Notamacropus eugenii: one gene and its partner. The protein of the gene in region 2 interacts with the protein of the main gene of each other region in a pairwise test. Links are inferred from orthologs where the notes say so. Each region holds a gene or a part of one and is shown on either strand. Other genes may lie near its edges.

Region 1 (8,044 bases), on a different chromosome or scaffold from region 2:
CTATAAATTTGAGAAATGAAGCCTTTATCAGAGATATTTGCTGTAAAAATTTTTCCCCAGTTTTCTACTTTCCTTTCAATGTTGGTTGCATTGGTTTTGTTTGTGCTGTTTCCTGAATTATTACAATAGTCCACTAGTTTTGTCCTCCTAGTTCCCATCTCCTCCTTCTTTAATCCTATGCCAAACCAAGGCAGAGATTACCATCCTAAAGCCAGATCTGACTATATTATTCTCCAGTATAAAAATTTTCAATGGCTACTTATACCCTCTAGCAGAAAATAAAATTCATCAGTCTAGTATTTAAAGCCCTCCACAACCTTCCCAAATATGTACTTTTACTCCTCCTCATGTGCTCAACATTCTGGCCCTGATCTACTAGCTAATCCCTGAACTCAATATTCCATCTCCAGTCTCTACCTTGGAACAGACTCTTCCTCATGCCTGGAATTAACTCCCTTGTCTGTACCTCTTAAAATCCCTTGTTTCTTTGTAAGGTTCCACTCAGGTGCTACCTTCTGTGAGCAGTCTTCCCTGTTCACCTGAGTTGTTAGTACTTGATCTATCTTACCATTACCTTCTATTATGCTTAACTGTGTATGCTACATGCCACTCCACCCCACCCCTAAAAATATAAGGTCTTTGAAGGCAAGGACTCATTTTGTCTTTATATTCCCATCCATTGCCAGAAATAATGCCTGGTAAGTACTTAGTACTTAAAGACATTGGGGCACTTAATAAATGCTTGTCAAGGTAAAACTGAGAGGCCTGGATGTGTGTGTGTGTGTGTGTGTGTATGTGTATGTGTATGAGAGAGAGACACAGAGAGAGAGAGACACACACAGAGAGACATAGAAGGAAGAGTGTGTGTATCTGTATGAGAGGGAGAAATGAGTATCTGTGCATGTGAGTATATGATGATATGAGTGTGGCTCTGAGTAGACCCCATGTGTGCACGAATTTGAGTGCCTGTGTGTGTGTGAGTAGAAGTATAGATGACTATAGAAGAGTGGAAGTGTGTAAAATAATTTCTGGGTATTTCTGTGTACCTGTGTGAGGTCTGAGGATGAGTGACATTCTATGTGTCAGGAAATATATATGTATGTAACTGTGTATATGACTATAAGTGACTGCATGTATGTGTGTGTGTGTGTGCGTGTAAGAGACAGACAGACAGACACAGAGAAAGAGACAGAGAGAGAGACTTGCTTTTGCTTCTACGTCCTCAGCTGTGACTAGGGCTTGAGGTCTGTGTAGGTGGGAGGGTGTCTCAGCACAAATACTTAATATTGAGGCTGACAGATGTAATGTCACTCTGATGACAGTAGCTAGGCTGCAGCATCAGGGCCTCTCTCTCCCCAAAGGACCCTGGTGTCCCTGGCTTCCCCTACCTTCTCTTTTAGAGCCCTTTATCTCCCAAGCCTCCCCTTCCCAGTGCTCCTAGGGGTCTCCCCATGATCAGCTATCCTGAGACCCCAGCACCTTCCCTGTCTCCCCAGACTCACTGGTATCATCTGAGTCATAGCTGTCCACTTCAGCCCCCTCCTCAGAGGCCCCAGCCCCTCGAATACCAGCCCCTGGGGACAGAGTCAGGGGCATTAGGCTGGGTGTAGCTGCAGCCCCAGTCCCTGGGGAGAGCTGGGCTTGGGGGCCTGCTCCACTCCCTCCACCCTCAGGTCCTAGCCGAGGAAAGTAGTCAGAGATCTGCCGGATGGGTCGAATGGGGCCAGGGCACACATTGATGGCCATGTGCTCCTGGATGTTGATGGTCATTCGGTCACCCCTCCGGCCCCTCATTCACACGTCCCCCACTGGAAAAGGAGGAAAAGGAAAATTAGCTATGGATTCCTCTCCTTTAAAAACCTAAATGACCTTTCCTCTTCACCCTTCTCCTCTAGGCTCCTCCCCCAGCCTTCTGGGCATCATCCTCCTGGAGGATAGTAAGGGTCCTGCCTTGATGGGTCTGGCCTCCAAAGAATGGGAAATGAGACCAGATCCCCCAGAAGAGCCTCTGGAATCTCAGGGCCTATTAGGATGTGGGGGGAGAACAGGGGGAGGTCATCTCTCTTGGGAGGTGCTTGGGGCAAGAGCAGAGAAGAAAGTAACAGAGCCAGATCATTCCTATAAGGGACCATACAGGGCCCTAAGTGGGATCCCCGTGAGGGCTTAGGTGGACTGGGACCTACATCCTCATAAACAGCCAGACCCACAGGGCTTCTCCCCTGTGGAAGTGAGTTAATTGCCTGTGTCTGCCAGGCCTTCATTACTTAAATTCTTGGGCCTGAAATGGAATGGTTAGGGGAGGGATGACAGACAGCATATGGGCAAATAGGGAGGGTGACTGGCTGGACCCTGGCCTCTGGCCTCAGTTTCCTTTCTAACCACAGCTCATCCCTCTCTGCCCCTCATCTGGCCCTGAGGGGCCGCAGGCCTGACTCCAATCTGGTTTCATCCCTGACTCTGTCCTCTTCCCCCCTCCAGGAAATTTCCCTGGACAGAGGTTCTGACTTTCTTGCCCTTGGTCTTGACCCTTCTCCTGAACTCCCTCTGTCCTCCTCGTCCTCCCCGAGGCTCTGTCTCCCCACCAGGCTCAGCCTGAGTTCCACTCTCCCCCCTCCCCCTCTCCTGTCTGTCTCTTGGGCTGTCTGTCCTCCCTAGACTCCATTTATCCTCTGGGCTGTCTGCTCCTCCGGGACCTCTGTGCGTCCCCATTCGGTTTGTTCATCCCTCCTTCCCCCTCAACCCCTATTCCTCAGGGCCTGCTGGGGAAGCCCCTTGCTCTCTTCTCACCTGGCGCTGGGCTTCCCGACTGCCGACTGCCGATAGATTGCAGTAAATGGGAGAGAGATAAACACAGATTCCCCAGACACACAACCTTTCCCCACCTCCTCCCCCAACATACACACCCAGCCCAGCCCAGCCCAGCCCCTTCCACCTGTCTCTGTGGTCCAACAGGTGCTTGAGAACCAGGGGGACAGCAGAAAGGGAATCTCAGAAGGTGCAGGGAGAGGTAGCAGCAGGGAACGCAGAGATAGGAGGAGATTCCAGAGGTGGAGAGAGAGGAGTCCGGCTGTGCGTGCGTGTGTGTGTGTGTGCGTGTGTGTGTGTGTGTGTGTGTGTGTGTGTGTATGAGAGAGAGAGAGAGAGAGAGAGAGAGAGAGAGAGAGAGAGATCCTGCTGGGGAGGAGGGGGTGAGGGAGGTGGAGGCAGAGATGAAGCAAGGGAGAAGGAGAGAGAGAGATGGATGAAGAGAGAAGGACAGAGGGACAGACAAAGAAGTGCAGAAGCAGGCTTGGGTGGGAGGTAAACACATGCACACTCCTGCACATAACAGAGCCCCCCAACACACACACATGCTCACACAGATTCCATTCACACATGCAGTCCTCCCTCACATGCAGTCACAGACATGTTCCCATTTACCACACCCACACACACCACACATGATCAGATACACACTCACTGACACACACGTGTCTCAAACACATGTATTCACATACACATTCCTGTCTGTACCATGCAGAGACAGGGGATTCCACATCCATACAAACACACTCATTAATTCACATGTGATCACACATGTATCTACATGATCTCTTGGAACCCCCTACTTTCACCACACACCTCTATGCTCGCAGACAGATACACTTGGGAGCATTCACACATTTGTACGAATTAATATGCACACACAAGAACACGTTCATACACACACACATAGAGTTCTGGGTTTCCAGGATTTCCAGCACCAGGGACTGAGAAGCGCCTGGTGTTTCCCAGCTCCCTCCTCACAGAACCCGGGAGTTCCCTTTCTTCCCCCTAGATTACCCTTGGTTGCCCCCATTGCTGCTCCCCTCTGCGAACACCCAGGGGCTGTGGCCCCCTCCTCAGTACCACCGCCCCTGCCATCCTTAATCCTCCCAGTGCCTCCCTCTCGGGTCCCAGGTGACTGGGCCTGAGGTATGGCTGACTGGCTCTGCCCAATTCAGGGAAGCTCTAGGTCCTGGTTGCCATGGCAATGCTTTCCTCCTTCTCTCCACCCCAGCCCTCCTTCAACCTTCTTGCTCCCAGACTCCCCCTCCTCACACCAAAGAACAGATTCTGGGATCTGCTGAGGGGGAAGGGACTCGCTTCCCCCCACCCCTGATTGATTAGTCTTTCCCCACCTTGGTCTCTCCCTCCCTCCTCACCAGTCTCCTTTTTCTCCTCACTCTGCTTTTCAGTTCTGCCCCCCGCTTCACAGCCCCCACCCTAAATCATTCCCCCCATTGAAGGGGGCCTGCCTATCTTGATCTTATCTTCCGAGATGGAAGCAACCACCCCTGTCCCAGGCCCCAGATGGTGGCTCATCTCCCCCGGTCCCCCGCCCCATTTGTCCACTAGGTTTTCCTTCCCCATCAATTCATTGAGGGTTTCTGCTTTCCCCACCAGCCTGAGGGAGGGGGATGGGGACTGGAAGATCTCAGCTAATTTTAGGCTAATGAGGCAGCTGGTATCTGGCAGCCTCCAGAGGCGGGGGCGGGGGCCAAACCGTCGGTGCAAGGCTCAGGAGGGGGTGGCAGCTCTCAGCCTCTCCGATCAATCGCTACTCTCCTTTTACTGCTTGGGGCCCCCTGAACGGGATCCAGACACTTTCCCTTCCTCACTGGGTTGTCTGGCTACAGCCAGTGCTCTGTGGCGGTCTTTGAGAGCTGGGGAAAGATCTTGATATTCCTTAGGAAATTATCAGGCCTAGGGTCTAGATGTATTGGTGAGAGAAGCCGTGGGAACAGGAGTAGTGAAAGTGGTGGAGAGGCTCTGAGAGGGGGAGAGATGGGAAGTACTGTGTCAGAGAGGAGGGCTGGTGGGTGGTTGGGGTGACAGTAACTGCCCTGCGGGCCCAATGGGAGGGAACAGTAAGTTGCATGGGAAGTGAAAGGTAGACAATTTGCAGGCCAGGACTGGGGATTATATTTAATAGGAAAGGTCTCTATGTAGGTAGCAGGGTGCGTCTGGCAGGCTGGAAATACGCCTTCTAAACCTCATGTTGGATTTATACAAGGGTTTAGGAGACACAGGCTCTAAGGCTCCGTAATAATACTTAGACTCTATATTCAGAAGGCTTGACTTGTGGCTGGGGATGGGGTGAAGAGAAAGAAAAAGGAGGAAATATCTTTTGTCCCCAGTCCTGCCATCTGACTCAGCTCTTTCCTTCCTGTTTCCTGGTCTAGCAGATGATGGATGGTGACACTTCCCATCCCTCCTCCCAGCCTGGCCACAGCTGAGTCGTCCCATTGGTTCATGCACTTAAGGTTCTATAGGCTCACTCTTCAGAGTACTTAGTGTTGTAGTTATGTCTTTAAGTTCCTAAAGACCACGCTTGTATTCTGTTCATATTTTGTTTTCTCAGTGTTTTATACAGAGTGGGCACATGGTAAATATTGAGTAAAAAGCTGTTGAATATGGATGAACGAACCTATTATCTCAGTAGTGGAAACTTAGCTCTTTATTACTCAAAAGAGGAAGGTAGGAAGTAACCCCAGGTAATGAATCAGGGAAGACATTTCCAGCATTCAAATCATATCTTAAAATAGTAAAGAGCAGTAATCAGCAGCAGCTAAGTAGTACATTGGTTATATCTCTGTACTTGGAGTCATGAAGACCTGAGTTCAAATCTAACCTCAGACACTTACTAGCAGTGTGACTCCAGGCAAATTAACCTCTTCGCCTCAGTTACCCTATCTATAAAATGAAAGCAATAGTAGCAACTACTTCTTGGTTATGACAATCAAAAGAAATACATGTAGTGTTTTGCAAAGCTCCAAGTACTATGTAAGTTCTAGCCATTATCAGCAGAAGTTTTTGGTACTGGTTAAACAACAGAACAATAGATCACTGAAACAGATTAGATAAGGAAAGATGAGGAAAAATCAAACTCAGCAACTTGGTGTTTGAAAAGCTTGAGAACATCAAATAATTGAGAAACAACTCCTTATTCAATAAGAACTGGAAAAACTGGAAAGCTGTTTGGCAGAAATTAAATTTGGACCAACATCTTATACTTTGCACCACACTAAGTTTAAGCATCTTACACTATATATCACAATAACTTCAAAATGGATATATAGCATGAATATTGAAGGTCATACCATATAAAATAAAAGAGAGTGAGATCAGGTACTTTTCATAGTTATGGCTAGGGGGACAGTTTTAACTAAAGGATAGAGGAGATCTACAATAGATAAAAACAGATCATTTGAGTTACATAAAATTTTGAAAAGAAAATCATTGCTGTTAGGGAAAAGTTTTGTATAAGATATCGTTCATAAGTATCTGATATCCAAGATGTATAAGGAACTAACACAAATATATGACTACCTTTTCCTGGTGAATATATAAGTAAGTGGCCAAAAGATATAAACAAAGTGTTCTCAAACAAACTGCAAACTATTAACAGCAATATGAAAGTGTTCTAAATACAACTTTTTAAAATTAATTTGTTTGTTTTCAGTTTTCAATAGTCACTTCCATAAGTCATAAATTTTCTCCCCCTTCCTCCCTGAGATGGCTTGCAATCTTATATAGGTTCTACTCAGATATTCTTATAAAACACATTTTCACATTAGTCATGTTGCTTAGAAAAATTAAAATGATTGGGAGAAACCATGAGAAAAACCAAAACAAAACATAACACAAGAGAAAATTGCTTCATTTTGCATTCCGATTCCATAGTTCTAAATACATCTGTGACAGAAATGGCCATTTGTCCATCAAAGGAGACTTAGATGTTGAAATTCAAAAGAGAAATCAAATATGAACCCTTGGGTATGGGGATCTTGGAGAGAGGAAAGCTGAAGGATCAGCACATCTGGAGGCCCAGAATGGAGGTGATGGAAGAATGGGGTGGACAAATGCTTTGTAGAAAGGGTTAGATCATCAAGTGCCTTGAAAAAGACCTTTTCCTCCACACTATTTATGAGCCCTGAAGGGTGAGGAGCAACACAACTGAGAAGGGCACCTATAGATTTGAATATTCAAGGATCCAACCTTTTAGAGAAGGAAAAGGAGTTCCAGGGAAGTCCTCAGACTCTTGGAGAGGGAGAGCAGAAGCCATCAGAGAATTGCTATAAGACTGAATGCCTGAATGAGTCTCTCATGAAAGTGGGACTCACTAGAATCACCCCTCTAACAACTCCACGTCTATTCCTCTTCCTAAGGGAATCCAAACCACAAGATGGCACTATGAGTCTGGGAGGTATAAGGCCTAGGAAAAGGGGAGACCTACTGGTATGAGAGAATTATTTCAGTTGTTCATAGGTTAATGTGAGTTCTTTATGCACTATATTCTATCAGGGTGAAATAAAAGCTCTCGTATGTCTGACAGGTATTTCAACTTAAGCATGTCATGGGAACTTGGGACCCTATGGGTAAAAGACAACTAGAGGAATATTCTAGATAAATTCAGGCATTTCCCAGAAATTTGTGGAGGAAAAAAGAACCGTTAAAGAATTATGGGTTGTCACAGTGTGTGAGAGTTTTTTCTGGTAGACTTAGATTTTTGTAATAACACAAGAACTTCTTACCAAAAAAAAAAAAAAATCCCAATGGAGGATCTCAAGGCAAAATGCCTGCCACACTCAGAGAGAGAAATATGGAAGTCACTCACATATTGTAGCAGATCATGTTTGTGTATGTGTATGTGTTTGTGTATCATGTTCTGATTTGTTATACGATTTCTTTCATTTATCTTAGTCTGACTACATAGCATGACTATAGTGAAAATATACTCAATAGGAAAGTATATGTAGAATCTATACAGAATTGTATGCAGTCGTGGGGAGGGAGGGGGGGAGTGGGGGGTAGGTGGGGGGGATAAAATCACAATTGTATGGCAGTGATTGTTAAACATTACAAAATAAAAAAAAATTACTTGAAATAACAAAAAAAAAAAAAAGAATTATGGGTTGTTAGGGGAGATGTCCCCAAGATTAAACTTCTTACTCTTTGTGATTTGTATGTTTAAACATATCTGCAAGAGATTAGTGCACTGAGATCTGCATTGTATATACAA
Region 2 (7,205 bases):
TTAACCCAAGCTCAGGTGAAAGGCTAAGTGAAGTGACTTTTGCAAGAGTACAGCGTTAGAATGGGATTCAGGCCTTCTATTTCTCTGTCCTGGCCACCACCCTTTGGTGTTGTCTCATTGCTTCCCTGGCCTCTGAAACTCCCAGAACCCTACAGCAGGACTTGGTACAACTGAGAATATTTATAACCTCAAAAGGGGAAGAAAAGGAGGGAAGGGCTCCCAGTCCCTGCTTCTCTTAATAAGAAACCTATCCAAGCAATCAAAGTTCAAGTACACAACCTTCCTTTTTGTTAACAACAGTTTGGAAATTAACATGTGCGGTAAGTTGCCATCACCACTTAATCATTCTATTAAGTGGTTTTGCTTCTCTCTCTCTATTTTTTTTAATAAAATGGTACTGGGGTGAAGAAGTCTTTTTTGCTGAAAAGTAGCTGATATATCAAATAAAATATTAACTTTTATTAAAAAGGAACCTATTATAGTTGAGACTGTGAGCTCTGAAGTCATACACTACTGCCCTAGGAACTCCAACTGCACTCTTTATAGTGGTTACTTATCATGTGTTAGACTTATCCTTTCGGGGGATATTTTGTTGCTCATCCCTTGAGGTTGCCTTATATTTTATATCTCCATCTCCCAGAGACTCCAAACCTGTCTCCCTGCCTTGAACTTTTTCATTATAGTCCTCCCTCTTCAGACTACTTCTCTCTTTCTCCTCCTAAATGCTGTCTTAAGGATTAAGAAAGAATTTAATGCTTCGGTTGTCCTCTCTTCCTAGGTAGAAAAGCAGTCGTTGATCTCTCCTCACCATTACTTCACCCCTATAGCTCATCAAGTTAGGTAGAGGCTCACAGGAGTCACAGAGCCATCCCCCACTACTTGGGGAGTTTGACTACTTCCCCTACACACATTCTATTATCCCCACATCTGGGGTAGAGGGAGGTGAATAAAGCTGACCATAACATTAAGGTGATAAAACTCCAAATTAGACATTAGGTTCAGTAACATTTCTCTCCCATTTATATTTCTGCTACAACATGATGTCACGCCTGTCCTCAGCACTGGCCAGCACTTGCATTTTTGGAAGCCAAGATGTCAGAATTGTGCCTAGGTTTATGACGCTGTGTGGCAGGACTGTATTTCTCAATTTCCCCTGAGTCCCTGTTTCATCCAATACCAGTAGATACCATCCATCATACCCACTGCACACACAGATCCATCTCTCATGCCTTCATTGAGAAAGGAAAGTAAAATCCATCAATATGCCCACTATTTGTTCCTATAACCCAGAGTACTTCAATCCCAGACTGAGTCTGAAAGTTGCCCAAGTTAAACAAGAGGGAAATGGGAAAAAATGGGCCTGTCCTCTGAAGGCCACCCCCCTTCCCCCCCATTCCACCTCCAGCTCCTTTCAAATTCCCTGGATGATCTGAACAACCAAACTTTGCAAAGTGTAAGCAAGATGAGTCCAGAGGTGGGGAAAGGGAGACAATTATCTCACGGGAATGTCTCTGAAAAGGAAGGAAAGTGTGCTTATCAGCAACCTGGCTTTCCAGATAAAGTTTTCCCTAATCTCTCTTTTCTGCTGATGTCATTACAGAGCTAAGGTGCTGGGCAGTCTGGCTAAAATATAGCCAGGATAAAATGGCAGCAGACTCAATAAAACAGCGATGGTGTTTCTGACTTTTCTCCCTTGCAGGCCACCTCTACTTTGTGCCCACACAGACTTGACAAGGGCTTTCTCAGGCAGCTCTCCCCTGATCCTCCTTCTGGTCAGCCAGATCTTTCTGCCATCGAGATTCACCAATTTGTCCTTACTCCCACCACAGGCGTGGGTGAATGGATAAAAAGATAATGATGGAGAAGGGAAGCTTTCCACCCAGAAAGTCCCCTCCGATTTCACCCACCACCTCTGGAGGAGGAGGGAAATAGCATCCCTCAGGTCCCCAGGTGGAAAATCGTCTTATCCTAGCTACTCTATCAATGAATATGCAGCAACACCCACACTCCCGCTCCTCCTACTCCAAAGGGAAACCAACATCCGGAGTTGAGAAACCACTGCAGTGGGAGTGGGGTGGAGTGGGGGGGTGACGGCAGTGTCTCTATGCTCCGCAGTCCCCTCATCTCTCCCTAGCAGCCCCAGGATGGGGCGAGGGATCCAGTGGGATTTCATTCCCCGATCCTGTTAGCTCCTCCAGGCAGCCTGTGGCACTGGCTCTGCCACAGAGACCTCAGGGATGACCTAGGTCCCACCTGCTTACTGCCGCCTGCCGGGATGCGGACAAAAAAACCCTCGACCCCGAGAGAACCAAAGGGCACCGACACACAAACGCGAGCGCGCTCACACACTGGCGCACACGCGCGCCCCCCTCGCCCCGGGGGTCCCGGGGAAAGGGAATTAGGTCCTCCCCCATCCCATCTCCAGCACATCCTTTTCCACCCTGTCTCGCCAGCAGCGCAGCAGGTAATGGATCTGGGCGAGGGCCGGCGTCGGAGAAGTCGGAGCCAGAGGAGGCGGCGGCCGAGGAGAAAGGCAGAGGAGAGGGCAGGGGAGGATGCCGGGAGAGAAGGAAGGATGCAGGGCAGGGCAGGAGGGATGCAAATGCCTTTCACTCACGCTCGGGCTTTGGGGAATCCCATGGAGAGGAGGACCTCGAGGGCCGACCCATGCTTGATGGTGCCGGCGCGATGCTGCTGCCGGTTCCTCCGGGGGATGACTTTGCTGTAGAGCTCCTCTCGCGCAGCCATGCCGGGCGGGCTGGGGCTGCCGCCGCCGCCGAGCCGAGCCGAGCCGAGCCGAGCCGAGCCGGGAGCCACAGCGGGCTCAGCACGCAGCCATGGCCGGGAGGAGACGCCGCCGGAGCTGCGGCGCGGGCGGGCGGGCGGAGGGAAGGAGGCGGCTCGCCGGCGAGGGTCGGCCCGGCGGTTCAGACCGACTGACTCCGACGGCTTCCTGGTGGAGGCGGCCCGCGGAGGAGCGGCGGCTCGGTGCCCGATAAGACGCGACTGCAGGCGCCGGTGCCCGTGCGCCTCCAAGCCCCGCAGGCGCCCGCTGCCAGCAGCGCGGCCGTCCTCCGCCCCCTGCCTCCGCTCCTAGCAGTCCGGGAATTTGCAATGAGTAATTTTTGAATGGATCAAAAAGGGAAAAGGAGCTCGGGTGGGCCGGCCTTGCCTGCCCCGTGTCAGCGGCCCCGCCCCTCTCTTAAAGCGGCAGCTCCCGCGGCTTGTGGCTCGCGTCCCTTCAACACTAGAGAGGGGATCCGACCCGCAGGGGTCGCGTTGGGCATTTGCCCCGTGGCCTTCATTTGCTTTCAGATATGGTCGCAGTCCTGACCCCTGACACCCGACACGTTTCTCCCTGACACACGTGTCCACAATTAATGAATGCTTGATGAGGCCATTAACGTGAACTGCTGATTGTGAGGATTCAGAACCCCGGGCAGTGAGACCCAGAGAAAGAGGTCTGCGTTAGAAAGAACCTCCGTAAATGTCGAGTGCAGCTGCGGCCATTAGAAACAAAGTTGCCACTTGTCCTTTCTGCTCAGGATGGAGTAACAAACGACTTCTCCTTTCTTTGGCAACAACAATCATGTTGATACAATAGCAGGCCTTTAAGGTTTGCAAATTGCTTTATGTATATTATCTCATCTGATACTCAGAAGAACCCTGAGAAGTAAGAGCTCTTATCACCATTTTACTTATGAGGAGCCTGAGGGGTCCAGAGGTCAAGTGACTTGCCCAGGGTCACACAATTAGTAATCACCACCATCATCATCATCACTTATATATAGCGCCTACTCTATGCCAGACACTATGCTAAGCACTGTATAACTTACTTCATTTGATCCTCACAATATCCGTGGGAGGTAGGAGCTCTCCAATTTTACAGATGAGAAAACAGACAGACAGAAATCAAGTGACTTTCTCAGAATTACACATCTGGTTAGTGTGGAAGGCAGGATTTGAACACACATTTATCCAGTGCTTTAAAGTTTGCAAAACACCTTTCCTCTTAACAGCCCTGTGAGATAGGTAGTGAAAATATTATAATTCCCATTTTACAGATTAGGAGACTGAAGCTTTTTAAGGGGTTAAGTTCCTTCTTCATGATCACTCAGCTAGCAAATGCCAAGGCGGGATTCAAATTCAGGTCTCCCAACTTCAGGTCTCCCAATCTTTTCACTAGATGCTATCCTCTCCTACTACTCTTCCTAAAGTGGACTACTGCCTGCACTTGTTGATTTGTAGACAGGCAGATCTTGGCTCGAAATGAAGATAAACTTTCTAATAACCAGACTTGTTCATCAGTGGATAGAGCTGCCTCTTGAAATAGTGAGCTCCCAGTCACTTTAAAAATTAAAGCAGAGATTAGATGAGCTTTTTGGGGCAGGCTATCGAGAGGATTTCTGAAGTGAACAAAAAGCAGGTTGGGGTGGTCTTTTCTAAATGATGTTTTGATTACTTTTGTAGGGCAAATAGCCCCAGCATGCAAGTCAGGTTGTTGGCATAGCTTTGCCACTCTCTAACTTTGTACTCTTGGGCAACCCATTTCCCTTCTCATGGCCTCAGTTTCCTTTTTCTATAAAATGAGGGTATTGGATTGGTTGATCTCTAAGGCCTCATCTTATTCTAACATTCTTGGATTCCATAATTATATTTTCAGCACACTAGAAAGTCTTCTATTCTACCCTGAAAAACCTCCTCCACTCCCTCTTGTTGAATGAAACTTAAAATTTCTTTACCAGGGAACAAAGCTTTTCTTTTCACGATGAAAGAAGGGACTGAAAATGCAAGAAATTTTAAGAGTTGACTTAAATGCACACAAAGATATGTAAGACATATCAGATTCTTTCTGGAAAAAAGGAGAGAAGGAATCTGAGCTTCAGAGAGAAGGGAAGAGAGCAGAACACCACAGGAAATATCTCCCAAAGAGGAGAGACTATAGGCTGTTTCACAAACTAGCTATTTCACACTTTTGCCTAAGGGCAGAAAGATTTTTAGTTTAATATAGCTATTTAAACTCTGATTTTTTGGGTTTTGTCCCCAGAGATACTTTCCTCAGAATGCCTGGAGGTGACAATCGGCTATCAATGGTTGTGGCAAAGGAATGCCAGTTCTGGTGGGTTCTTTCCATCTGGAAAGGAGTGGAGTCTGCACTCCATGATAGATTGTCTGTCATTTGTCTGAGAACCAGCCAAAGTGAATTCAGAAGGGTTTATCACCTGGTGGTGTCAGGGTGATGAATTTTTCAGGCTTAGAAACTTCTTCAAGACCATCAACCAAATCACTAGAGGGGTTGCAATCTATGTAGGAAGAAAGAGCCTCCACTTGGATGAAGTCACCAATCCTTGAAGTGAATTCCAGGGAAAACTACATGGCTTGATTTTCTTAGTAGGGAATTGATTTTTCTAAATGGTATTTGAATGTGATGAGGATGAGTGAGTACAAAGCAAGTCTGAAAATCAATAAAAGAGATTCATCCTTGAGTCCAGTCACTGGGTAGGATATAAGGGACTCTTCCAAATAGTGTCTGGCAATTGGGAGGAATTGCCAAGTGATCTCTGACAAAGCTGAGACAAAGGCAGGCCTGGGGGCCCTAGAAAATCTGCCTAAGGTCTTAGGACCCTGTTAATGTTGGTTTGAGGAGGTCATCCATTCTTCCACAAAAAAGAGGCAATGGATCATAATGGATAGTTAGGCCTCAAAGCCCGGAAGACCTGGGTTCAAGTCCAGCCTCAGACACATCCTGGTGGTGTAAACCTGGGCAAGTCACTTAATGTCTTAGAGCTTTAGGCAACTTTGAAATTAAAAATTGCAGGGAAGTTGTTGATCTGCGTTGATAGATGAAAATTCCTGATCTAGGAATTCCATGTACCAATAAAACCAGATGTCCAGGCTCTATCCCATGTGACCCTACCCATTATAGATTCATAGACTCTCACATTTTGAAAGGACCTCCAAAACTTTGAGGGCTCACCCAGCCTCTACCAGAAATCTATTATTTGTCAAGGCAACCCCACTTCACTTTTGGATAGTTCTCATTAATAGACGGTTTATCTCTACAGGTATTCTAAATTCTTCTCCATATAACTTCTACCTATTTGCCCTACTTCTGTCCTTTGAGAACCAACAGAACAAAACCGCTTGGCCTCTCTTGGTCCTAGTTTCCCCCTCTTCTATGAAAAGATGATAAACAGTCTTTGCACCTTTTGGGAACAAAGGAGAATACATATCTTGAAGCAGCTAGGTGATGCAGTGGATAGAGCACCAGATCTAGAGTGAAGAAAACCTAAGTTTAAATCCAGCCTCAGCCTCCAACTAGCAGTGTGACCATGGGCAAGTCACTTAACTTCTGTCTGCCTCAGTTAGGTCAACTGTAAAATGTGGATCATAACAGAATTCATAGGGTTATTGTGAGATAAACAGAGATAATAATTGTAAAGCATTTAATGCCATTCTAGGCACATAGTAAGTAAGCACTATGTAAATGATAGCTAATATTATATTACTTTCTAATGCAAATCTGAATCTGATTGATCTTCAGACCTAGAAGGAACCTTAAAAGTCACCTAGTCTAGCTGCCTCATTTTATAGATTGGAAAACTGGGATCGAGAGAGAGGAAATGAATTGTTTCATAGTTTAAAAAAAAGTCACAAGACTTGGAGATAGGAGAGACCAGGGTTGGAATCTTACCCTTGACATTTACCAGTCAAGTGACCATGGGCAAATAACTTAATTTCTCTGAACCTCAGTGTCCTTGTCTCACAGATGGTGATAATGTTCCAAATGCCTTTAGGTTCACATGGTTGTTATGAGGACTGAGAGGTTGTCTGTTTAATGTGCATATATAGATCTACACATACATACACATATGTCTACATGTATACATACACACATGCATGTATATACATGTATGTGCTTGAATGCATATTTGTATCTGTCATGCATGTTTGTATATGTATATACATATGCATGTCTATATATGCACATATACCCATATATTCATATATAATAATAGATAGCATTTAATAGCACTCTACAAATATTATTTCATTTATCATCATAACAATCTGAGGAGGTAGATTTATCCTGGCTCCTGGGATTGTGCTCTTTTCAATGCCTCACAAATGGAAATTGCTCTTTTCAGGGATGCTCTAAAGAACTCCCAGTCTGGCTCCCTCACCCACCCCACCACCCAGCTTTT

What was found. The genes of interacting proteins can lie anywhere in the genome.
Region 1: the proteins of UBASH3B (region 2) and DOC2A interact in binary tests that used the Homo sapiens proteins (3 or more experiments, as listed by UniProt). The link is inferred for Notamacropus eugenii from reciprocal best matches to the Homo sapiens genes UBASH3B and DOC2A.

The regions. Positions count from the first base shown.
Region 1 is NC_092872.1:46,863,010-46,871,053, reverse strand, and holds the start of DOC2A (double C2-like domain-containing protein alpha), read right to left. Parts: upstream 3,092-8,044; 5' UTR 2,933-3,091; intron 1,809-2,932; 5' UTR 1,795-1,808; coding exon 1,503-1,794; intron 1-1,502. UniProt on the Homo sapiens protein: Calcium sensor which most probably regulates fusion of vesicles with membranes. Binds calcium and phospholipids. May be involved in calcium dependent neurotransmitter release through the interaction with UNC13A.
Region 2 is NC_092876.1:274,979,775-274,986,979, forward strand, and holds the start of UBASH3B (ubiquitin-associated and SH3 domain-containing protein B), read right to left. Parts: upstream 3,092-7,205; 5' UTR 2,749-3,091; coding exon 2,618-2,748; intron 1-2,617. UniProt on the Homo sapiens protein: Interferes with CBL-mediated down-regulation and degradation of receptor-type tyrosine kinases. Promotes accumulation of activated target receptors, such as T-cell receptors and EGFR, on the cell surface.